Cricetulus griseus: one gene and its partners. The protein of the gene in region 1 binds, or shares a complex with, the protein of each later gene. Links are inferred from orthologs where the notes say so. Each region holds a gene or a part of one and is shown on either strand. Other genes may lie near its edges. The genes, in order: CCR4-NOT transcription complex subunit 2, Cnot11, Cnot7, Cnot8, Cnot9 and Cnot10.

Evidence for each region.
Region 2: CCR4-NOT transcription complex subunit 2 (region 1) and Cnot11 share a complex: the UniProt entries of both Homo sapiens proteins name them as parts of the CCR4-NOT complex. The link is inferred for Cricetulus griseus from reciprocal best matches to the Homo sapiens genes CNOT2 and CNOT11.
Region 3: CCR4-NOT transcription complex subunit 2 (region 1) and Cnot7 share a complex: the UniProt entries of both Homo sapiens proteins name them as parts of the CCR4-NOT complex. The link is inferred for Cricetulus griseus from reciprocal best matches to the Homo sapiens genes CNOT2 and CNOT7.
Region 4: CCR4-NOT transcription complex subunit 2 (region 1) and Cnot8 share a complex: the UniProt entries of both Homo sapiens proteins name them as parts of the CCR4-NOT complex. The link is inferred for Cricetulus griseus from reciprocal best matches to the Homo sapiens genes CNOT2 and CNOT8.
Region 5: CCR4-NOT transcription complex subunit 2 (region 1) and Cnot9 share a complex: the UniProt entries of both Homo sapiens proteins name them as parts of the CCR4-NOT complex. The link is inferred for Cricetulus griseus from reciprocal best matches to the Homo sapiens genes CNOT2 and CNOT9.
Region 6: CCR4-NOT transcription complex subunit 2 (region 1) and Cnot10 share a complex: the UniProt entries of both Homo sapiens proteins name them as parts of the CCR4-NOT complex. The link is inferred for Cricetulus griseus from reciprocal best matches to the Homo sapiens genes CNOT2 and CNOT10.

What each region holds. Positions count from the first base shown.
Region 1 is NW_023276806.1:139,743,795-139,747,294, reverse strand, and holds part of CCR4-NOT transcription complex subunit 2, read right to left. Parts: intron 3,170-3,500; coding exon 3,022-3,169; intron 2,370-3,021; coding exon 2,187-2,369; intron 93-2,186; coding exon 13-92; intron 1-12. UniProt on the Homo sapiens protein: Component of the CCR4-NOT complex which is one of the major cellular mRNA deadenylases and is linked to various cellular processes including bulk mRNA degradation, miRNA-mediated repression, translational repression during translational initiation and general transcription regulation.
Region 2 is NW_023276807.1:8,702,280-8,706,325, reverse strand, and holds the start of Cnot11 (CCR4-NOT transcription complex subunit 11), read left to right. Parts: upstream 1-1,246; 5' UTR 1,247-1,346; intron 1,347-3,032; 5' UTR 3,033-3,328; coding exon 3,329-3,839; intron 3,840-4,046. UniProt on the Homo sapiens protein: Component of the CCR4-NOT complex which is one of the major cellular mRNA deadenylases and is linked to various cellular processes including bulk mRNA degradation, miRNA-mediated repression, translational repression during translational initiation and general transcription regulation.
Region 3 is NW_023276807.1:45,216,052-45,219,551, forward strand, and holds part of Cnot7 (CCR4-NOT transcription complex subunit 7), read left to right. Parts: intron 1-639; coding exon 640-833; intron 834-3,500. UniProt on the Homo sapiens protein: Has 3'-5' poly(A) exoribonuclease activity for synthetic poly(A) RNA substrate. Its function seems to be partially redundant with that of CNOT8.
Region 4 is NC_048600.1:72,177,965-72,182,137, reverse strand, and holds the end of Cnot8 (CCR4-NOT transcription complex subunit 8), read right to left. Parts: intron 3,488-4,173; coding exon 3,377-3,487; intron 1,679-3,376; coding exon 1,529-1,678; 3' UTR 501-1,528; downstream 1-500. UniProt on the Homo sapiens protein: Has 3'-5' poly(A) exoribonuclease activity for synthetic poly(A) RNA substrate. Its function seems to be partially redundant with that of CNOT7.
Region 5 is NC_048595.1:427,755,938-427,759,866, forward strand, and holds the start of Cnot9 (CCR4-NOT transcription complex subunit 9), read left to right. Parts: upstream 1-1,129; 5' UTR 1,130-1,515; coding exon 1,516-1,539; intron 1,540-3,929. UniProt on the Homo sapiens protein: Component of the CCR4-NOT complex which is one of the major cellular mRNA deadenylases and is linked to various cellular processes including bulk mRNA degradation, miRNA-mediated repression, translational repression during translational initiation and general transcription regulation.
Region 6 is NC_048597.1:221,687,502-221,691,001, reverse strand, and holds part of Cnot10 (CCR4-NOT transcription complex subunit 10), read left to right. Parts: intron 1-1,399; coding exon 1,400-1,550; intron 1,551-3,500. UniProt on the Homo sapiens protein: Component of the CCR4-NOT complex which is one of the major cellular mRNA deadenylases and is linked to various cellular processes including bulk mRNA degradation, miRNA-mediated repression, translational repression during translational initiation and general transcription regulation.

The DNA of each region.
Region 1 (3,500 bases):
GGATTAGCTTACCTGTTCCATTAAAAATGTTACTTGATAAGGAGTTATTCATTCCAAATGCCTGATTCCTGTTCATTCCAAATCCAGACATACTGGGTACATAGAAAATAATTTTAGATATACAGTAAGAACACTAACTTAGAGATGAAGAAAAACAAAAGTATATACTTTTGGTCTCCTCATATAAAATAACAATATGTTTCAAAACCAATGCTAATTTAGAGTATAATCTTCACTTTTATTTAAAAACTTCTCTAAAATTCTTCAATGAACAAGAAAGAACCAAAGTTTAAATAAATTAATCTTAAAAACAAAAAAAGAATGTATTTATGAATGTTGAAGAACAGAGGTTAAGGGTACCATTAGCGCACCGCCCTCAGAATGCAGGTAGGTTTAAGATTACCCCACCCCGCTGCACCAAAACTTGCTTTTTCTTCCCTGACTGGTCAAGCTTGCTTTTCAGTGTTAAGTCTTCTCTTTACAACCTCTGTCTTTCCCAACTACTCGCTCCCATGAGTCCATGTCTTATTCACTCTGCATTTGACCTGAGTTAAACTGACCAGGTACTCAAAAAAAAAGAAAACTGAATTCAGTGTTCTAAAACATCATTTCAGATAGACAGATGATAGGTAGACAGGTAGACAGACAGACAGACAGACAGACAGACAAAGCGAGCTTAGTTTTCATCTACTTAACAGAAAAAAATCTTTCTATAGCACCCCTAATTTTGAATTAATGTACAACTCAATTTCTGCAAACAATTACATTTAACCCCCTTTTTCTTTTTTGTACAAACCTAATCAGGGCAAAACAAAAAAAGACAGAATCTAAATAAGTTTCTATAAAGAAACTATGCACCATCTCTATCACTCAGTAGTATTCTGATAGGTCAGCATGCCGGTGAACAGGGCCAAGCATTTGAAGGTAAAAGATGTAACCATTCTGTCTAAGTCTGTAGAACTAGCCATCTTTGAAAAGCTATGCAGCTAGCGAACCAACATTCCAGGGCACAGTAGTATAAATAAACTTTTTTTTTTTCCTATTACACTAGAGCTGCTGGTTGTATAGGTACCTCAAACATGGATTCAGAATTCAAATGAAACAATTTTATATATCAGCAGCACATAGAAGCAGGGATTAAAAGTTTTATTACAGTGACACTTTTTACAGAAAGTATTTTCTGAATAATTAAAATGTGAAAAATAAAAGCAAAACTTTAAATTTAAAAATATCTTCAATGAACAAGAATGCAGAAAGATACAATAAAGCCCAAGCAATAGTTAGGACGCTATAAAAATAAAAAGGTAAGAGCAGCAACAACATGCTGCAAATAATTTTTTAAAAACTTAGGTATGTAAAACCTGTATAGAATAATGGAGTTTATGGGATAAAGGTTGAACAGAAAGTGTGCTAAGCACTGATTTTAGTGTAGATTTGACAGTGGATAAAAGAAACTGATTGAGATGAAGGGGAGCAACAACTAAATGAAGGTCCTTTCACTGTATAGTTTTTCATAAAAATTAAGTATAAACAGAATATGACACACAACTCAAACTTACTATGTTGCTTTTGTAAGGAAGCCTTACATTTCAGATACAACTCTCTTGTTACCCAAACCACTTCAACATACTAGCAAAATGAATCATTGTTCTTATTTGTACAGTACATGCAGTGGATAGCACAAAATGAAAAAAAAAAAAAAACCATACACACCAGCTTTCTGTTTTGTTTTGTAACTCTAGACACAAAATTTAAGAGTACTGTTTTGAAATAGTATAATTGTGAAGTCTTTCCTTAGTAAGTACCCAAAGTATTTCAGCTCAGAAGGCATCTAAACAACGCATAACTCAAGCATGGCAGTAGCAATCAAGCATGCCTGCCTCCAGTCATGTTCATAAACCCACAACTCAAGTAGATAAACTTTACTTAATAACAAATGGAAGGATAAAACAGTAAAATTTTGCTTGGTGACAACCCAAGAACATTCCCTTTCTGGTACTACCATCAGCAACAGATTTAACATGCTTTTTGAAATAATAACATCTTTCAGAGGTTAAGGACTGTGATGGGCAATGATCTTAGCTCACACATACATGATAAACACACCTGTAGCACAGAAGCCACAACTCAGAAACAGAGGGCTGGATATGAAAAGGCAATATATGCAGTATCAATAAACATCTTACCTGTTCACAGTAAAAGGCTGTCGAGAAGGCTGCTGCTTTGGCATACATATTATGCTTGGCGAGCTTCTGTTGGGGCTACCTAACCCTGAACTGCTCATGCTATTTGTCCTGCTAGGAATTCCAATGCCCTGACCAACCTGGGAGTGGTTCATCATATTCCTAGGATTCATAGGCAAAATACCCCTGAAAAAGAAGTCCATTATACTAAATAAGCTCTCTACAATCACTCATTAAAATTCTCTATAAATAATCAGTTGCTCTAACCCCTAGAATTCCAAATATACATTTCAGTTGTATTCCTAATTTTATAGTGAAACTTTAAAAGGTGCTGTCATAGAGAACTACTGGGACAACTCTGATATAAAATATAAATGTTTTCCATATATATCTAAAATAATTTCATTCAAATTTCATTATCATTCTATTCTCTTGATATTAATAATACATATATGTTATCTGTTTTATTTTACTCTAATTAAGCAATAGATGTGTGGTGAGGGAGCAAACAAATCTGGGGAGTCATTTTTAATTGAACATCATTGAGGAAGAGATATATATATATATATATATATATATATATATAGCTTTTGTAAAAGCTCCCCAGGAGGTGATTAAACCTTGATCCATTCAGATGACAACTAGCACATAGCTTCAAGATCAAACACTACACTATACTTATCACTTTGCAATGAAACAAAATGAGCATAGGAACTGTTTTCTTAGTGCAAGGCACTGAACCAGAAAATCAAGTAACTAATTACTGTATTAAAAAATTAAAGCTCGGATTACTCTACAAAAATACAATCTGAAAATATTCTGGTCCATTAATAAATACCTGCTTGGAGATGGAGGCGTGTGAAGTGACATTGTTGGTACCCCTGTTGTTGGCGTGACGTGGCTCGGTAACTGAGTGCCTTGTGATAAGCTGCGATTTAACTGAGGGGTATTGTTGCTCATCCCCCTCATTGGAAGGCCTAGTGCACCTAATAAGAAAATTCAGAAGAAGGAAATTCATTGCCATCAGGAATGAAATTGGTATCCATCTTCTGGAGTTTGCAATCTAAAACATTTTAAAATGACCTAATAACTCACTGCAAATGGACTCTTGATTTTCAACAAAAGTTCTAGTCTAAAATTTAGTATTTTGAGTATCTTTTTGTATTTTTCATATTACTATGTTACAATAAACTATGTTAATGATTATAACAAATGAGATGTTACATAATACAAACTGTTGTCAAATTCATTAAGGGCATATTTGTGAAACTTGCACATACAAATATGCCTTTAAGAAATTCTGCAATTTCATGTGTT
Region 2 (4,046 bases), on another chromosome or scaffold:
CAATACTGAAGCTGGACATGAACATGTCCCATGGCCTGGCTGGGCCAGTCCTCTATACAGGGCAGAGACGTCAGCCCTCATATCTACAAAAGAGATCGTGAATGGCCAAGCTTTCATCTCATTAGACACCCAGATTAGAAACCCCCTCAATTCAGTAATGCGTTTGGATATCCTCAGACACTCACAGTGAACTACTATGTCAGATATTCTTAGAGGTGTGTGGTTTGGAATGACCCCAAATGGAGCTGGGCATGGTGGGAAGCTGAGACAGGAGGATGAGCATTGGAAAGTATTCTGTGCTACAGAGCAAGTACAAAACTAACTTGATTACTTGCCAAGGATACGTTCCCTCCCACATATATATATATATATATATATATATATAATATATATATATTCTTCTATTATTCTCTAGTCTCTGATATGCTTTGGGACCTCAGTTAGTATTAAAGAAGTGTTCCTAAGGGCTCATAGGGTCAGTCCACCAGGGACTGGTTTCTCTCCCGTTGTCTCAGATCATGCAGCCTTTGTCTTTGGGAGGCTGGGTAGCTATAATACTCTTTCTTAGCTCTCACAGCACTCAGATCCATCCCTTCTGAGCCTACATCCCAAGTCTCACAAGCCAGGGTGAAAGGCTTTCATTTCTATTTTTAGCGTGTGCTATGGTACATGTGTGTAAGTCAGAGGATACTATGTGGGAGAGGGTTCTCTCCTTCCACCACGATGGTTCTGGAGATCAAACATCAGGGTTGATGACAAGTGCCTTTATTTACCTGCTGAGCCATCTTGCTGACCCTCTGTTAGATCTCAGACCTGGGACGAATGGTAAACTGACGTGCCTATCGAACATATCAAAATATATATGGCTGCTAGATTCTCCCCGAATCCCTCAGTCCCCCTGTCCTGAACTCTCCAGCCCAGGGGCTGGGCCGCCCTTCCCTCAGAGGCTCTTCCCTGTATAATCCAGCTATTTTGACTAGGCTGGCCCCTTTGCCTCCTGGCTGCTAGGCTCCAGATCTCCTGCTTTGCCTCTCCATCTCTCCTCACATGGGACAGCTCTGTCTGCTGGTCATGTCCATTCTGGACTCTCCCAGATGTCTCTGTCTCTGGTATGCTCTCTGACATAGCTACAATAAACCTTCTCTTCCACCCTACTGTGTCCTCCTTTTTTCATTTCCTTTTTTCATTTGCCTTCATGTCTTATTTAAATTTTTTTCTTATTTGTTTTTTTTTTCATTTAAAGAGTTCAAAGGCAGACTACTCCCTGACCACCATAGTTTCCTGTACTGGGCTGACACCAAGGCTCCACCCACACGTGCCATGGATTTCCCTTCTCCGCAATAAAGGTTAGACCCGAGGGCTCTCTCTTATCACATCACCTCACTTTCTCCTACTGTCTGATTCTTCTCACAGATTCCAAAGTTTTGGATCCCAAGAGGGCCTGTTTCGTACAGATTTATTTTGTATTTTCTTTCCTCTAGTGTTCTCCATCCCCAGCAATAAGAAACAACAATCCAGTGCCTCCATCTCCTTCTTCTTTTTCGGTTCCTTGACTTCTCCTGTCAGCTTAGAGGCTAATGTGAAGGACAGCACCATAATTGTTCTTCTCATTGTAATTTCTCCCTTACCTGGGCAGATGACATAGCCTCCAGTTGCATGTCTTATATCAAAACAAGGGCCATGCAACTGATACCACATCGTGCTTACAACCCTGTCCTACACCCGCTGCATTTGGGGATTACAATCTATCCTTTGGTCTGTAAGTCATATGGGACAATATGGGGCATCCCCATTCATTAAGGAGGCATCCCGCTCTGTACTGCATAGAAGAAGACGGCCATTATGGGATCCTCCTCATGGACACTCCATCCTGCCTTGGAGCAGCCTTTCTTCTATCTTTTCAGCCACAGTAGGATGAAATGTAGGGCATGAAAATGAAACAGTAGGGTTAATGCAATTGTTACTGCAGCAACAAAGCAGGCCAGTCCATACCACAGAGGAAAAGCCTCACTGGGATTGCTTGGTGTTTGCTCACCCTCAGAGGGCTCAGCTCAGTGGTAGATCTCATCACCCACAGCAGAGAAAACACAAATTCTCCTTTCAGATGCATCTTTGGTTCTTTTATGTCCCTGTTTATCTATTTACTCTAGGTATTGCACCAAAACCAGACCTCAAGTGTAGCTGGGTGAGCCAATGAGTGCAACTGGGGTGGCTGCTTACAGGAGCACGAGGATGGGCTCCCCACAGGAGCAAACATACTAGGCTTTTTCTTTCGGGCCACCAACCAGCTCCTAAATCATGACACAGGGGAGACTTAGTATTAGTTGTGAATGCTTTGGCCTTAGCTTATGCTAACTTCTGGCTAGCTGTTTTCTTTTTTTCTTTTAACTTAAATTAACCTGTTTCTCCTCATCTATGTTTTTTCTTGGGGCTTTTTAACCTTTCTTTTTTTGTTTTTGTTTGTTGAGACAGGGTTTCTCTGTAGCTTTGGAGCCTGTCCTAGAACTTGCTCTGTAGATCAGTATTTCTTGAGTAAACGAGTATTTCTTGATACTCTTTCACAGATTTTTGTTTCCTTCTATTTATTTATTTATTTATTTATTTATTTGTTTGTTTGTTTTTGAGACATCGTTTTTCTATGTAATTCTGGCTATTCCGAAACTCACCATGTAGACCAGCCTAGCCTCGAACTCACAGAGATGTGCATGCTTCTGCTTCCCTAGTGCCAGGTCCCTAGTGCCAGATTTTTGTTTACCTAGCCATGCACAAACACTTATGTGCAATACGATCCCATCTCTGAGAATATGAGGAAGCCTTGAGATTTAAACTGGTTATGAGAAACCTGTTTTTTATTTGCATATAATTTCACCACGAACCATCAAGACTGTCCTATGAAGCCAGTTAAGCATTTAAGGCCCGTTTTTCAAATCACAACTTAGGCAACATTTACTGGGCCGGTTTGGCACCACCCACCACCCAGAGATAGCCTTCGCTGGCTTTAACCACACCCTCGCCCACCCTACCTTACACAGTACAAGCAAGGCAAGACTAGACGAACCCATCTCCGTCTACGGGCCCGCCCTCCAGAGCGCCCCTCCCACTTCCGGACGTGGCGCCCCGCCCACCTCGCGTCTCCGGAACCTGGGCTCGGCCTGGCTCTATCGATCTGCACTGTTTCTCGGTTCCGATCGTCTTGACTTCCGCGCTGTTTTGTTTGCGACGCTGTCGTGTAACGGTGCGCTTTACGGCCGCGGGGGAAGCAGCCAGCCGGTGCCAGGGCCTTGGAGCCGGGAAGCAGGGAGGGCGAGCGAGCGGGCGGGCGAAGTTGATGCCCGGCGGCGGGGCGAGCACGGCGTCTGGCCGGCTTCTCTCCGCAGCGGATCAAAGAGGAGCGCGGGAGGCGGCGGCGGCGTTCCGGAGCGGTCCAGCGGGCTCGAGCGGAGGCCGAGGCGGAGCAGGTGGCCCCGGGCCAGGGAGTGGAGGCCCCGGGGGCCCCGCGGGCAGGATGAGCCTGAGCCCGAAGGAACTCTCGAGCCTGCTTAACATCATCTCTGAGGAGGCGGGCGGCGGCAGCACTTTCGAGGGCCTGTCCACCGCCTTCCACCACTACTTCAGCAAGGCCGACCACTTCCGCCTGGGCTCGGTCTTGGTGATGCTGCTGCAGCAGCCGGACCTGCTGCCCAGCGCGGCGCAGCGTCTGACGGCCCTCTACCTGCTGTGGGAGATGTACCGCACCGAGCCGCTCGCCGCCAACCCGTTCGCCGCCAGCTTCGCGCACCTGCTCAACCCGGCGCCGCCCGCCCGCGGCGGACAGGAGCCCGACCGGCCCCCGCTCTCAGGTACCTCCCTCAGCCAGCTGTGCGGGCGCCGCCAGCTGTTGCAGCTGTGCGGGAGCTCACCAGCTAGGAAAATGCAGCCTATTCGTAGAGAGGATCACCCCCCCCCCCACACACACACACAGACACACAGGGGAGGGGCAACCAAAAGTTCTAAGTTTTGTTGTTGTTGTTGTTTTTAACTTCACTGCACTCCAAATGATCCCTCCC
Region 3 (3,500 bases), on another chromosome or scaffold:
GAATTCTCCTGCTAAACTAAAACATAATTTTCTTAGTATCACAAGTTTTTAAAAAAGTGCTTCTCTGAGGGTGCTTGCTTAAAATAGGAATATCTATACATAGACATTCCATGTATTAGAGGTATAACTTATCCATAATTGGGGCTGAAACTTTCTGTTTGGGCAGAGAGGGTTACTTTATAGGCAGCAAAAAATTCCTAGTTGTCATTTATTTCTTGGATGATAAGGAATTGCAGTACAGAAATAATAACAGCCTGTAAGAGGGAGTGGGAATCTTGACATGATTTCTGTGGGTTTTCTTTTCCTTGGATACGAAGCAAATGTTTGCTTGAGTTTATCATGAGTTATCTGTACAGGGTAATAATTTATTGATAAATTTTAATAAGAAAAAGTAGTGAGTCCGAGGCCAGCCTGGTCTACAAAGGGAGTGCCAGGACGGGCTCCAAAGCTACAAAGAAACCCTGTCTGGAAAAAAAAATAAATAATATTCTTCATACTTGAAGAGTACCTAATTGAGTATGAACATACAGAATATCATTGTAATAGAATTCTCTGAATTATATCTGAAATTATCTTGAGAGTTTATGGATCCTATTTATGCCCATTTAGTAAATAATGAATCTTAAAATTATTTTTCAGGACACTGAGTTTCCAGGTGTTGTTGCAAGGCCCATTGGAGAATTCAGGAGCAATGCTGACTATCAATACCAACTATTGCGATGTAATGTAGACTTGTTAAAGATAATTCAGCTAGGACTGACATTTATGAATGAGCAAGGAGAATACCCTCCAGGAACTTCAACTTGGCAGTTTAATTTTAAATTTAATTTGACGTAAGTGGGAAATAAATATATAACCCCAACTTTTTGTTTCTAGTTTAATTTTAGGAATTGGGTTTAAATGTAGTGAAATTCTAACTGAATAAATTTCCCGGAAATTTATTAAATTTAGAGTTTCAAAAGCTTAGGCTTATTATTATGAGGCAAAAGGGATTGAGATAATAAAAGCTTCTAATTTCAAATACCATTCAGTGATAGAGATGTTATTTCTAAACTGTGACTGCTGCTTTTCCAGAAAGTTGTAAAATTGTATTTTTGTTGTTGTTTGCTGTTATTTAAGGTGCTGCAGATTAAACCTGGGTCCTAAAACATGAATCTTAGGATATTGATTTTACTATTACATTTTGTTGTTGTTTGGCTCTTTTGAGACAGGGTCTTACTACATAGCCCAGGTCTCTACGTAGACCATGCTGGCCTCAAACTCCCAGAGATCCATCTGCTTCTGCTTCCCAAATGCTAGGATTAAAGGTGTGTGTTACTACACCTAAAACTTTGACTTTTTTGTACCCAATATGAAATTCAAAAGTGGGGAGGCACATTTGCTGCTCCCAATCAAGCAGGTACCATTCAGCTACAACCCCATCCCACTGTAGATTTGTTAAGATTTTGTTGAAATAGTCACTGTTCCTGTGAAGAGATTTTTTATTTTATTACTCTCATACTTTGCATCTTAAGTAGATACTTACTTACCATATGCAATAAATTGTTTCTTGGAAAGTTAGTTATGTTTTCTTTTCAAACTCTGTTCTTTAATGACTGCTCCCATGTAACCCATGAAACCTCTTGATCTTCATACAGAAAATGTAATAGTATTCTTAAACTTTTCATATACCAGACTCTGATATGTAATTCAAATCTTGGGTCTAAAGTCTGTTGCCTTCATTTAAATAGTTCTACATTATTTATTGTAGTCTTGGTAGCTGAGGGAACTTCATGAAGTAGAGTCCATCCTTTTGACATTATGACACATGTTTTTATTTGCAAAGGTCATACTCAAGAACCATGCAGTTGAGATTTTAGCAATGAAAACAAAAATAACAAAATTTTTAAAAAGTTTACACTTTTGTGTTGGGCTACATTGATAACTCATGGAGCTTATGTGACTTCTGAACTTCAGATTATAAGTTCCCAATAGGGGACAGGGGCGTATTATTTCTATTAAGGTAAGGAAATAAAACATACAGTATATTCTGCACTATGTAACAATATTTTAGTGCCTTTCTGTTTGGTAGCCTGTATTTGTATAATAGCAGAGTCTCGTTGGAAACATAGCAACAGAAACGAGAAGAAAATTAATGCTAGTTAATTGTAAGAATTCCTTGATTAATATGCACTATTTAATGTGTAAGACCTAATGAATAGCAAGCAGGACTGATGGTTTTAGTGGTGTTAGTGTCAGTGGTACAGCTGTGTGTCTTTTAAATGCATTGTGCTAACTATAAATAATACTGACAGTATTTTAATGTCTAGTACTATAGTGACATTAGTCTCTGTAGACTCTATACAGGCTAAAAGTGCTCATCTCCACTGTAATGTTATAATGTTTCTTTAATACTACAAATCTAGAGCAAACTGAAAATTGCCTTCCATCCTTTTCTCAAATGAAGATTCTTTTCTTTAGTTTTTTGTCATTTTTATTTCTTTAAAGTTCTTTTTTCCCCCCAAACTAAACATTAGAGCATTGATTTAGTTTTTTTGTTGTTGTTTTTTTTTTTTTAGTTTTGTTTGTTTATTTAAAATAAGATACTTGGTTTGGAGCAGTACTTAATACATCAGTGTGTTGGATGGTAAAATTGGTAGTTTTTGCTAGATAGTAGTTTTTATAGCAGTGGCTTTCATTTTAGTTAGTGTCTGAGCATGTTTTGTTTTTCCTTATTCACACAAGTAGTTTCACTGCCAAGTGTGTGCTACTATTTATACTAATGATAATGCCATGAGAAATGGTAGAGAAAAGAGTATAGAGTATAAAGGCTGATGAAAGGGCTCAGTGCATAGATGCCCTCCACCATGCTTGTTGACCTAAGTATGATTCTCGAACTGATATGGTAGGAGAGAACTGACTGACTAAAGTTGTGCTTTAACCTTCACATGTGTCTGTGATGAACATGTATAGGCACACACACACACAAAATAGATAAAGGTGAAGTTTAAAAAGTTTTAGAAGACTAAGTGAAAAATGTTAAGTAGAGCAAAAGCCATTGAGAAGATAAAAATGGAACTGCCTGATGTGGAAAATGTCGTGATAGCATCTTGGATGTGTTGAAGAATGGTGAAATAGACCTTGATGAATGCCTAGAAGGAATGTGTCAGTGTGTTAGGCTCTACAGTACAATGAGGAATGTTGTTCAATGTTATTATAACTTTCTGTCCTCTCTGTTGTCTCTGCTTGTAAATGTTTTTTGTGCTTAATTCTCATACTGGTCCAAGTCAGGGTGGTTCTAGGTTTGCCAGTGTTGTTTCTGGTTTTACCATTAGCATCATGAGAGTAAATGCAAGTCATTATTTATCACATGTAGATAACAAAGATTTGGAATATGGAAAGATATTTGTGGTTACAGTATATGTGTCACATTAATCGATACTTTGAGAAGATTTGAATAGATACTTCAGAGTATTGTACATACAATAAGAAATACCTGCACTCACTTCGATTTTTAGTTA
Region 4 (4,173 bases), on another chromosome or scaffold:
CCAAGGCATCGTTACTGAGAGCCACTCTGCTGCCTTCACCACAGTCCTCACAGGTATGTCAAGTGCAAACCTGCCAGCCAAAGTTCTAGATCTTCAGGTACAGTGGTGCAGACCTACACTCCTTGCTATTCAGAAGGACGGCTTAGAGGTCAGGGCCAGCTTATGTAACTTAAGACCCCCTAGAGGATTCTAGAGAATCCTCTAGAAGGGCCCCAATACTTGACTGACAGCTTTACCTTTTTTGTGAACAGAAAAGGCTGGGGGGGGGGGAAATCAATTAGGAAGTGTTAAGTTCAAATGCCCTACAGAATTCCACTGAGTAACCCACTGTGAGTAGCCAGGGAGAATACAATTAAAGCTACTCTACCGTCCGAAGGCCCAACAGCCAGCAGGGTATGAAGCTTCCTCAATGAGACCTTCCTTCCAAGGCTGACTGGTTCTGAGGTAAGCCAATCCCATCACAGATACCAGATCCTAGCTACCAAAGACCACACCTCATGCCAGTGGTTAAAAAGCAATCTTTATTTTACAAAATTAAAAACATAAATAATATTTACAAGCATCTTAAATATCAGCTTTAATAGTTGACATTTTGTAATCATTTCAAATTCAGTTTCCCACAAGCTTTTAAGATGTAAGACCACTCCTGCTTCAGGGAGCTGCTGCCGTCTGTCTCCGCCTTCCAAAGAAGTTTCTGCTTTCTCAAAATTGTACTTTCTGTAGTCATTTTTAAAAAGTGTGCTTCCAAAATGCCTAACCTTAAAAAAAAATCATCGGCTTCTGACAGCTGTGGGATGACTCTCAGAGGTCTGAGGTGAAGTCTCTTACTGCCCTGCTCACAAGTGACTCCTGTGACTTTCCTAGCATTCCGGAGCTCAGCTTTACCACCACTTGACATCTCCGGCTTGCTAAGTAAAAGCATGGGAATGGAAGCTAAGAGAACACAGCTGATTGAGATCACCCTGCTGAGAACAAAATGGACATGGAGCATGACCTAGTCGAGGGCAGTTCATCCGAAAACTAAGGTGACTTGAGGTGAGGCTCAGCTGCCAGCTTAATGCCACAAAAAGGAGACTCAGAACTTTCCAGGTTTCAGAACAGTCAGGACTGCTCTGTCCTGGAGAAGTTTGACAAAAGCAGGGCAGAGCCTGCTGTTGCGGACCTACTTCCCAAGAACATACACCATGTTCCCTGGCAGCCTCAGCTCATCTGAGAATCTTCATCAGAGCAGCAAAGCCAAAAGAAAAAAGAATGACAACGTGTAAGAGTCATATACATTTTACTGGTTTGTTTCAGACATCCTGGAGGTTTAAAAAGGTGTCCATGAAGCCATGGATGCTGGTGGCAGGAGGCAGCAGAGGGACGTGGGCATGAGGAAAAGGAAGACTTGTTTACAAATTCAGAGCAAACCCCCTTCTTCTGGATCTAAAATAAAGGCATCTTTAAACAGAAACCCAAAGTCTCTGCTTAGAGCAGATGCAGGTCAATGGCTGGGGCGGATGGCACAGATGGCACGGTGCACGCGCTATCACTGCTGCATGTTGTTGATCATGGCCAGGATGCTCATCTTCTCCTGGGCAGAGTCCACATCCTCATTCTGCTTCTGAGCCACTCCCGTGCCCAGGCCATAGAGGCGCCCACAGTACTTGGCATCATCAATACTGTCCTCAAAGAATAGCTGCAGAACAGGACAGAATCAGCTGAGAATGGGGCCAGAAGTCATGCCACCTCCCAGCTTCTCAAGCCCTGACACTCAGCAGACTGGACACTAAATCAGCAATGACACCAAACATCTCTCACGAAGGCTTTTCCTGTTCCTTTCCCTACACTGGGGCTCTGCTTCCTCAACAGACTTGGCATTCCTATGATTTGTCACTGCTGGGGACCATGGGCTACTGCCAAGCAAAGCAGTGATTACGAACTCAGGCTTGCCAAGTTACTTCAACTCCATTCCATCTTGGTTCCTTATCCACAAAAAGGAAAGCTAGGTGAGGTGGCACACACATGTAATCCTAGCACCCGAGAAGCTAAGATGTGACTGAAAAGATCACGGACAATGAACACTCAACCTTAACATCACTGGGCAGAAGCTGCCCAGTCCAATCACAAGATGCTGAGCACAGCCCTGGTCAGAAGCACCATCTCTGCTAAGTATAACAAGAAACATTCCATGCCAGGCAGTGGTAGTATACGCCTTTAATCCCAGCACTCGGGAGACAGAGGCAGGCAGATCTCTGTGAGTTCAAGGCCAGCCTGGTCTGCAAGAGCTAGTTTCAGGAGAGCCTCCAAAGCCACAGAGAAGCCCTGTCTCAAAAAAACAAAAAACAAAAACAAAAACAAAAAAATAAATAAATAAATAAAAAAGAAAAAGAAAAAAGGAAACATCTCCAAGGCATCACCAAATGTGCCAGTTGGCAACCACTTTTACAATTGTTACAATTGTTACTATTTAGATCTAAAATGTTCCTAGAAGTCCTGTTGACAGCTTAGCACCAACTTGTAGGGTTACTAGGAAATGGTAAAAACTTGAGGAGGTGAAACTTAGTAGAGGGATGTGAAGTTGTCAGGGCCAGGCCCTGTACTCAGCCTCTTCCTCTGTTCCCAAGCCACCAGAAGAACAGGCCTTAGCACTCTGATGATCTAGCTTGCTGGAGCAGACAGAGCCAATCACTGGCTAAAATATCTCATGTTGTAAACCAAAATAAACTAGTCTTTTGAAGTTGATGGCTTCAGTTATTTTGTCAACGCCACAGAAAACTAGTTAAATAAAAACCTGAACTCATAATAATGGTAAAAGCACAAAAAAAAAAAAAAAAAAAAAAAAAAGAAATACTAACTAGACATGGCAGCTCACAGCCGTAATCCCAGATTTTAGGAGGCTGAGGCAAGGAGATAGTCATGGGTTCAAGGACAGGCATATGCCTTTAATCCCAACATTCAAGAGCAGAACAAGTATATCTCATATACATAAGAGTTTAAAGCCAACAGGGCTACACAGACACAAGAAAAAAACAAGAAAAATGTCAACAAAATTGTAATTTTCTTTTTTCCTTGAGGTGGGGTTTCTCTAGATAGCCCTGACTGTACTTGAACTCATGAGACCCACCTGTCTCTGCCTCCCAAGTGCTGGCTGGGGCTAAAGGTATGCACCACCACTGCCCAGCTTTCATGGTAATTTTTCAAAGCATATTCTTCCTCTTTAAACATTTTAGAACTTAAAAGAGTAGGTAAATACACTAGAAGAGAAATTCACTCTTCATTAGAGAAATAATCCTTGGCCCAAGTGGGTAGACTAACAGCATTCCTACAGTAGAAAGCAGAAGGAAATAAAGGGGAAGCTGCCTGGAAACGAAGAGCCCTCACACTGACACATTACCTCTTTCATCCTGAAGAAAGCCATCCCCGTCAACAAGGAGTCTGAGCCTGCTTGATGCTGCCTTCCAATTCTCTGCAAATCCAACTGGTCAGCCACCTCCTGAAGACCTCCCTAGAGGACAGAAAACAAGAGATGTCACATACCAACACTATTCTGAACTCAAGTAAGACTACTCATGAGTCCATTTAGCAGTGGGCCATTCATCTAACAAGCCTCAGTAGGTAGACATTTTTCAGATTTTCACTCTCCTTCCCAAACAATACACTATGTGCTTGCAGAGATGAGAAGACAACTTTCCCAAGTCAGTTCTCTCCTACCACAAGGGTTACAGAGATCAAACTCAGGTCCATCAAGTTTGGCAGCAGGCACCTTCACCCACTCAGCCATCTCACAGGTCCAACTTCTTGAACTTTTTGTTTTGTTTTTCAGAAACACGGTTTCTCTGTGTAGCCCTGGCTGTCCTATAGAACTCACTCTGTGGACCAGGCTGGCCTCAAATTCACAGAGATCTGCCTGCCTCTGCCTTCCAGGTGCTGGGATTAAAGGCATGCAATACCACCATCGGGCCTTCTTAAACTTTTAAAGTTTAAAAAAAAAAAAAAAAAAACCTTGGAGAATGTGGGACAGTGCAGGACTGTCATAACATACTGCACATGACTTCATGTCACCAACTGCTTTGTGAGGTTCTCAGGCAGCCAGCCTCAAGATACAAGAAATAGGGCTCTTTTGATGCTCAAGTTCCAACAAAGACAGTTACAGAGGAAGCCCTGAGCCACTCAGCTTTATCGATACCCTCT
Region 5 (3,929 bases), on another chromosome or scaffold:
TAGGCAATGTCATGCATAGGCATGTCCCAAATTTAACATGGCAAGTGACTCACATAACATACAAACACACATGTATTTATTTGTATGTCTGGCCCAGAACCTTCCTCTTACCTTTAACCCAATAAACCCAAATTGCTCCTTAATATTCTCTTTCAGCTGGACTCATAAGGGACTGTAGCTCGCCAAAATACACCCGAAAACCATTACAGCACAACTCTCCAAAGACAGGGAACTTGATTTAAAATTGGTAAATTGGACATCGCCGGTGTTGGCTAGATACTGGAGGCAACCAAATAAATGCACGACAAGCATTCCACTCCCTGACTTTCAATGAACAGTTTTTAAGAGGAGGAGGGAAGTAACGAAGGGCCCAGAGGGCGAATGAGTATCACACATCCAAGGTCTGGTGTGTGGCCACGGGAAGTCACCTGTAAAGACAGCAGGCCTTGTTAGGAGGCAAGCCGAGACCACCGCAGCCCTGCTCAACAGGAGCCGGGCTTAGAACGCGGAAAGCGAGTGGCAATACGGACCGTGTTGAAGGAGAGGGAAAGTGGAGGGGAGACACTCCAATGGGCGCACCTGTAAGGGACCCGGGGAGCGTCCAGGGACCCGGGGCGGGCTGAGCAGCAGCCGGGCGAACTCCGGAGTGGGCGGACCGCCGGCTGTGGGGGGGGGGGGGTGAGGCTGGGGAAAACGGCTCAATTCACAGGCTGTCCCGGCCCGCCTTACCTGTGCCGGAGGGTCCCAGCCTAGGACGGGCCAGCCAGAAGCACAGGGTTTCCGCAGAGGGGGAGGAGCCGAGGGGCTCGGAAGGAAGGGGGCTCCCCTGGACCCAGAAAGGGAGGCCGTGCTCTCCTCTACACTCCTAAACCCGCTGATGGCGGGAACTGTGACTATACGCAAACACGTACGCACGCACGCACTCCCGACGCAGCCAGTCCGGGCGCGTGCGCGTCAGCGCTCAAGCCCCGCCCCCGAGCCCTCGGCCCGCCCCTCCCCGAGCCCTGCCCCTCACCCGGGCGGCCCGGCCCCTGCCGTGACGGAACCGTAGGACACATGCGCACTCTCCATTTTACCGACTTCGGACCTCCCACCATTTTCCCTTCGCTCGGCTCAGCCCGGTGGAGCATGCGCAGTTCGCGTCCTTCCATACCGCCGGCCTTTTCCCGCCCTTCTCTGGCCTTAGGAGGGAAGTCAGGGTCCGCGCTCCTCTGGGGATATACCTGCGATGCCGGGGGGTTACTAGGACCCGTAGGTTGCAGACGTCGTTCTGATCCTGACTCTCGAGTGTCAAAGGGCGTACATACTCTGGGACTATTAGCTAGGCCGAGGGCCAGGAGGCGGGAAGGGGCTGTGTGGGTGGAGGGTCAGAGGTGAGAGGTCAGAGGGCTGCCAAGGGGGAGGAGCGAGCCGGAGGCGGATGGCGGCTCTTCATCTCCGGCTGCACAGCCGCTGAAGCTGGGACGCGGGTCCGGCGCGTCGGGCGGGAGGAGGAGAGCGGCGGCCGCTCCCAACATGCACAGCCTGGCGACGGCGGCGGTGAGTGGCTGCGCCCGGATGCCCGTCTCAGCCCGCTTCCTAGTTCCCGGAGCCGGGCCCCGAGTCCAGCTGCTTCTGCCCCTGGCCGCGAGGTCCGGGAGTCTCCACACGGCGCCCTGGCCGTGGCGGAGTCCGACCCTCCCAGCTATCCCTGCCGCCGCGTCCGTCTCTTCTCCTGGCCCCTTGCGCGCGGCCTCTCGCGTTCTTTTCCGGCGCCGCGGCCTGGTCCCCGCGCGGCCTCGGCAGGCCATTCATTGATTCACGTGAGCCCGGCGTCAGTTTCTGGGGGCCACGGTCGAGTGCCGGGCCTCGGCGGGGATAAGAATATCATTCCATGGCCATTCGCTCTGGGCCCCGGCTCCGGGAACACGTCGCCTAGGCACAATCTCAGTGGGAAGGACACGGCTTCTAGCTCAAAAGCCGGAGCCCCGGAGTTCAGGATGATTCCTTCTGGCTTACGGTCCTCTGCGTTTAAAGCCTTCCTCGCACATCTCGTTTTATCTTTTAACAAGAAAAGCTAGTCGCCGTATTACACCTCCCTGAAGTCATCCTGTGGCTTTTGGTTACTTTTAGAGAAAGTAGATGCTTTGGCCTACAAGCCCCGTATGATGTGGTCCTTAGTCACGTTTTAATGGGCTCCGTTTTTGTCACTTGCTCCTTAAGCTCCGACCAAAAGTGCATGCACTTTTCCACTGAATGACACAGTCTCTAGTTTCTTTGCCTGGAATTGTCCTTCTTAGGACTGCCTCCATACATACAAGTCTGTCCCCAGAGTGACTTTCTGACCATGTTCACAGTAGCTTCTAACCCCAACATTTACTCTTGTATTGATTTTCCAGTGTGTAATTACTGGATTATTTAACTTGTGGGATGTCTGTCTCCCTCTCGGGGTCAGGGACAGGATTGTGTGTGTGTGTGTGAATTCTGTTTACTTGGTTTTCCCACTGCTAGAACAGTTCCTACAAGGTAAGCACTATGCACTCTGACAACCGTATGGAAAGAGGGATAATTTAAGAACACTTACAAGCCTGGTAATGGCGCATGCTTTAAATCCCAGCACTTGGAAGGCAGAGGCAGGTGAATCTCTGTGTTTGAGGCCAGCTTGTTTCACAGAACAAATAGAGGGCTGCCAAGGCAAAACGGAAAAAAAAAAGTTCTCAGTATGTATTTCTTCAATTATATTTGCAGTGCTGTACATAGATTAAAAAACTTGAACATTTGTTATGCTGTTTGACCCACGTGGCGGCTCTGACAAGTTCTTTTGTACCACTCATCTGGTAGGATATTTAGTGAGGATACTGAAGAATAAAAATTTGAGGCAGCGGGCGTTGGTGCCGCATGCCTTTAATCCCAGCACTCGGGAGGCAGAGGCAGGAGGATCTCTGTGAGTTCGAGGCCAGCCTGGTCTACAGATCAAGTTTCAAGATAACCTCCAAAGCAATACGGAGAAACTCTGTCTCGAGGGGAAAAAAAATTGAGGCAGTTCCTTCATAATCCCGTATTCCCATAAGCATCCAAACTCCTTATGTTATTTTGATCTGAGCAAGAAAAACAAAATTATGATGTACTAGGATCACATGCAGCAATACCCACAAAAACCTAAATCTTTTGAGAAGGCGCTTGGTTTTTGTTTAATAATGAAAACTAGTGTGTATGTGTTCATATTGTGGGTGTGCATGTGTGGAGGTCAGAGTCAGTTTGGGGGTTGTTCCTCTTTACTATATATAGCTAGGGAGATAGGAAGTACTATTAAAGGGCAATGAATGCAGGTGTTATTTACTAGAGAAACAGTAGCAAAAGACACTGAGGTAGTGTGCTCTTGTCATTATGGAATATATTCTAATATCTGTTATCAAAAAAAGTGTTTTGTTTTTTTTCCTATCGTGGGCAGAAAACAATGAAGGGCTATTTACAAAATTAGTAAGTGTAAGGGCATAAACGGACATGGCTAAGCAGGTGAGAGGTCAAATCCCAGCACTCACATAAAAAGTCAGCTGTGACTCCCATGTGTGCAACCCCAGACAGCTCTGGGGTTAGAGAATCAATAATCACTAGGGGTTGCTAACTACTAGCCTCGCCTGGAAGGAATATGGCCAGGAATGATTGAGGAGCTCTCTGTGCACACATATATATACCACACACATGCTCATACCATGTAAAAAAGTAGAATGCTACTGATGTTTAAAAAAAAAAAAAAAAGATGAGATGCTTGCCTCCAAGCCTGGTGACCTGAGTTTGTTGACAGAACCCACTGGTGGGAAAAGAGAAATAACTCCCACAGGTCATTCTCTTAACTTTCACACATGCACCATGGCACATACACGTACTCAGTAAGTAAATGAGGAAAAGAAAACCCCCAAAACTAAATAGTTGGTCTTTGGCTAGGTTCT
Region 6 (3,500 bases), on another chromosome or scaffold:
CGTAAATTAGAGACTTGTGAAATATAAAGAGATTAAGGGCAGCCTGGTTTACAAAGTGTCTTCTAGGCCAAGCCAGGCATGTGCCTGCCTTTAACCCTAGCACTCAGGAGGCAGTACTCTGAGTTCAAGGACAGCCAACACTGTATAGTGAGACCCTGTTCCAAACAAACAAAAAAAGCAATGATAATAAAATACAATATAATCCCTACACTTGTTAAGATGAGGCAGGAGGATTGCTGTGTGTCTGAGGTCATCTGGGGCTATTTTATTTTCAAAAATGGAAAGATAGGCAGGAGAGATGGCTTAGCACTCAGAGCACTTACTGCTCTTGAGAAGACCCAGCACACATGGCAGCTCACAGCATCTGTTCGTTTTTACTGTGGGACTAAGTCCTTAGATATGCTCCCTTGGTCTTGGACAGCATAATTACAATTCTGGTCTCCCATATTTGTAAGGTAAATATCTGCATTCTCCCTGTGTAGCTTTGACTGGCCTGGAACTTGCTGTGTAAGTGAGATTCAAAATGTTTTGTCTAATAGGATTTCAATGTGAATGAAACAGATAAAAATAATTTCTAGTATTTGGGACTAATTAAAACCTAGAGTTACTTTGGCTGGAGAGATGGCTCAGTGGTTAAGAACTTCCAGAGGTCCTGAGTTCAACTCCCAGTGACGACATGATGGCTCACAAGCATCTATAATGAGATCTGGTGCCCTCTTCTGGTATGCAGAATACTCATATATAAAATACAAATAAATACATTTTTTAAATTAAAAAGAAAACCTAAGCCGGGCGTGGGTGGTGCACGCCTTTAATCCCAGCACTTGGGAGGCAGAGGCAGGGGGATCTCTGTGAGTTCGAGACCAGTCTGGTCTACAAGAGCAAATTCCAGGATAGGCTCAAAAGCCACAGAGAAACCCTGTCTCAAAAACCAAAAAGAAAAAAAAAAGAAAACCTGAAGGTACTTTTTTTTGTTGTTTTGTATTTTGTTTTAGAGACAGGGTTTCTCTGTGTAGCCCTGGCGGTCCTGGAACTTGCTCTGTAGACCAGGCTGGCCTTGAACTCAGGGATCTGCCTGTCCCTGCTTCTCAGTGTTGGGATTAGGGGGTGTGCCACCAGCCTGGTGAAGGTACTATTAAAACGTAGGAAAATAAGAAAAAGAAGTGTTGGAGCTGGGCATGGTAGCACACATCTGCACTCGCAGCTACTCAAAAGATTGGCCTGGAACTCACTGTTTTGCCTTGGCTGACCTTGAACTTAGAATAGTAGTTCTCCTGCCTGGGCTTTGTAGGTGCTGAGGTTACAGGGGTGTGCTATACGTCCGGCTGAATTCTTTCATTTTTGCAGGTTGTTTTCTTAACTGTTGTTAAGAGCACATTCTGCCTGGATTGTTTTGTAGGTTCACTCAGCTGTTGAAGAAATGGATGGATTAGATGATGTTGAAAACAGCATGTTGTATTATAATCAAGCAGTCATTCTTTATCATCTGCGGCAGTATACAGAGGCCATATCTGTTGGTGAAAAACTCTATCAGTTCATAGAACCTTTTGGTATGTTATCTGTCGGGCCAGAAATTCATCCTTTCTAGCTTTTTTTTTTTTTTTTTTTTTTTTCTAGATGACCTAAACTAAAGCTGTATGTCAGCGTTTAATGGGAATAGCTCGGTCAGCAGAATGCTTGCCTTGCAAATGTAAGGACCTGGCTGGGTTCAATGCCTAGAAGCCACCTAAAAACAGCTAACATGGTAGTATATGCTTGTAATATAGTGCTGGGGGCAGATAGAGGTGGATCTCTTGAGTTTGCTGGCTAGATGGCCCGGCCTGCTTAAGCGCTAGGCTATTGAGATACCTGTCTCAGAAAACTAGAGTCAAGGTCTAGAGAGATGGCTCAACAGTTCAGAGCACTGGCTGTTCTCCTAGGACATGAGTTCAATTCGCAGCACCCACATAGCTGCTCACAATCATCTGTCACTCTCAGAAAATCTGAAGCCCTCTTCTGGCCTCCTCAGGCACATATAGGCAGGTAAAACAACTAAAGAGAACGAACGGTCACTAAGGATCAACCCAGAGATCCCTCTTGTCTTCTACACATGCATGCACACATGCAACTGCATACCTGAGCACACACATATAAAATGATCAAAATAAAGCTGTTTAAGCCTTTCTAAATTTAATTTTAGAATAGATAAACTTCTATGACATTTAGAGAAGTCCTGTTTCCTTTAGCACTCCTCACCTGAGTTTTAAAGGGGCCCAAAATATCCGGTAGACCAGTTGTTCAGGGTCATCCTCTGACACTTACTGGGTTTGAGGACAGCCTGGATTTCATGAGATCCTATCAAAAAGGAAGGAGGGTAGGAGGAGGAAGGGAAGGGAAGGAATGACCTTTTGGAGAGTAGAAAGATGTTTGTCCTTTCTTTGCTATTGCATACTCCCTTAATGACTAGAGCCTTTTTACCATGGCACACTTGAGAAAAGATGGGGAGGGCTGGAGTGATGCTTGGTGTTTTGGAGCACTTGCTGCTCTTGCAGAGAATCGGGGTTTAGTTCCCAGGCCTACATTTTTCCTCAGCATGCACTAGGTTTACACATACATACACAAAGGCAAAACATTCATATGCATAAAGTAAACATTTTTTAAAGATTTTTTTAAGGATTTTATTTATTTATTATGTATACAACATTCTGCTTCCATGTATATCTGCACACCAGAAGAGAGCGCCAAATCTCATAACGGATGGTTGTGAGCCACCATGTGGTTGCTGGGAATTGAACTCAGACCTGTGGAAGAGCAGTCGGTGCTTTTAACCTCTGTGCATCTCTCCAGCCCAAAGTTTTAAAAGACCATTTTAACATTGGAGTGTTAGAGGACAGTGTAGTATTTCGTTTCTCTGTTGCCCTGCTGAAATTTCTGCATGTAGAGAGCTAATACAGGTTTGTGTTTTATTTCTGATACTGGCCTTAAGAATTGGGGAGGTTGGAGTCTGAGGAGAAGAGAGGAGCCAGCAGATGAGCAGCAGGCTGGTATGTGGTTAGAGAGCACCAGTCCACAAGGAGTCTGCTCGTTGTGTTAGATCAGACCATGAAGGAGACATCCGAGGCTCTGAACACTGGTCTGTTGGTGGTTCCTATACAGCAGGTGGTGGAGTGTGGTCCCTGTGCCCCTGTGACACTTGGGAAGAGGATATGTAGCCCTTTGACAACTCATTGAGCAGCTGGTAACTGACTCTAGGGAACTGTTTTAAGTTGCCTGTCTCTTTCAGTCCTGATGGCTTGGTGACTGGTAGACTGGCCAGGAGAGAGGCAGTGGTAGGGACTGTGTGACAAGAACTAAGTCCCTCCATGAAGCTATGTCAGAATTGGTCCCCACTGAAAGCATTGACAGTGCTTTTCTGAATTCTGCCAACAGTTCACAAAATACTATGAATCTGTACTGTGGCTAAGAGAATATAAAGTTCAGTGTAAGTCATTTGGATACATTTATTTTTGTGAAAATTATTG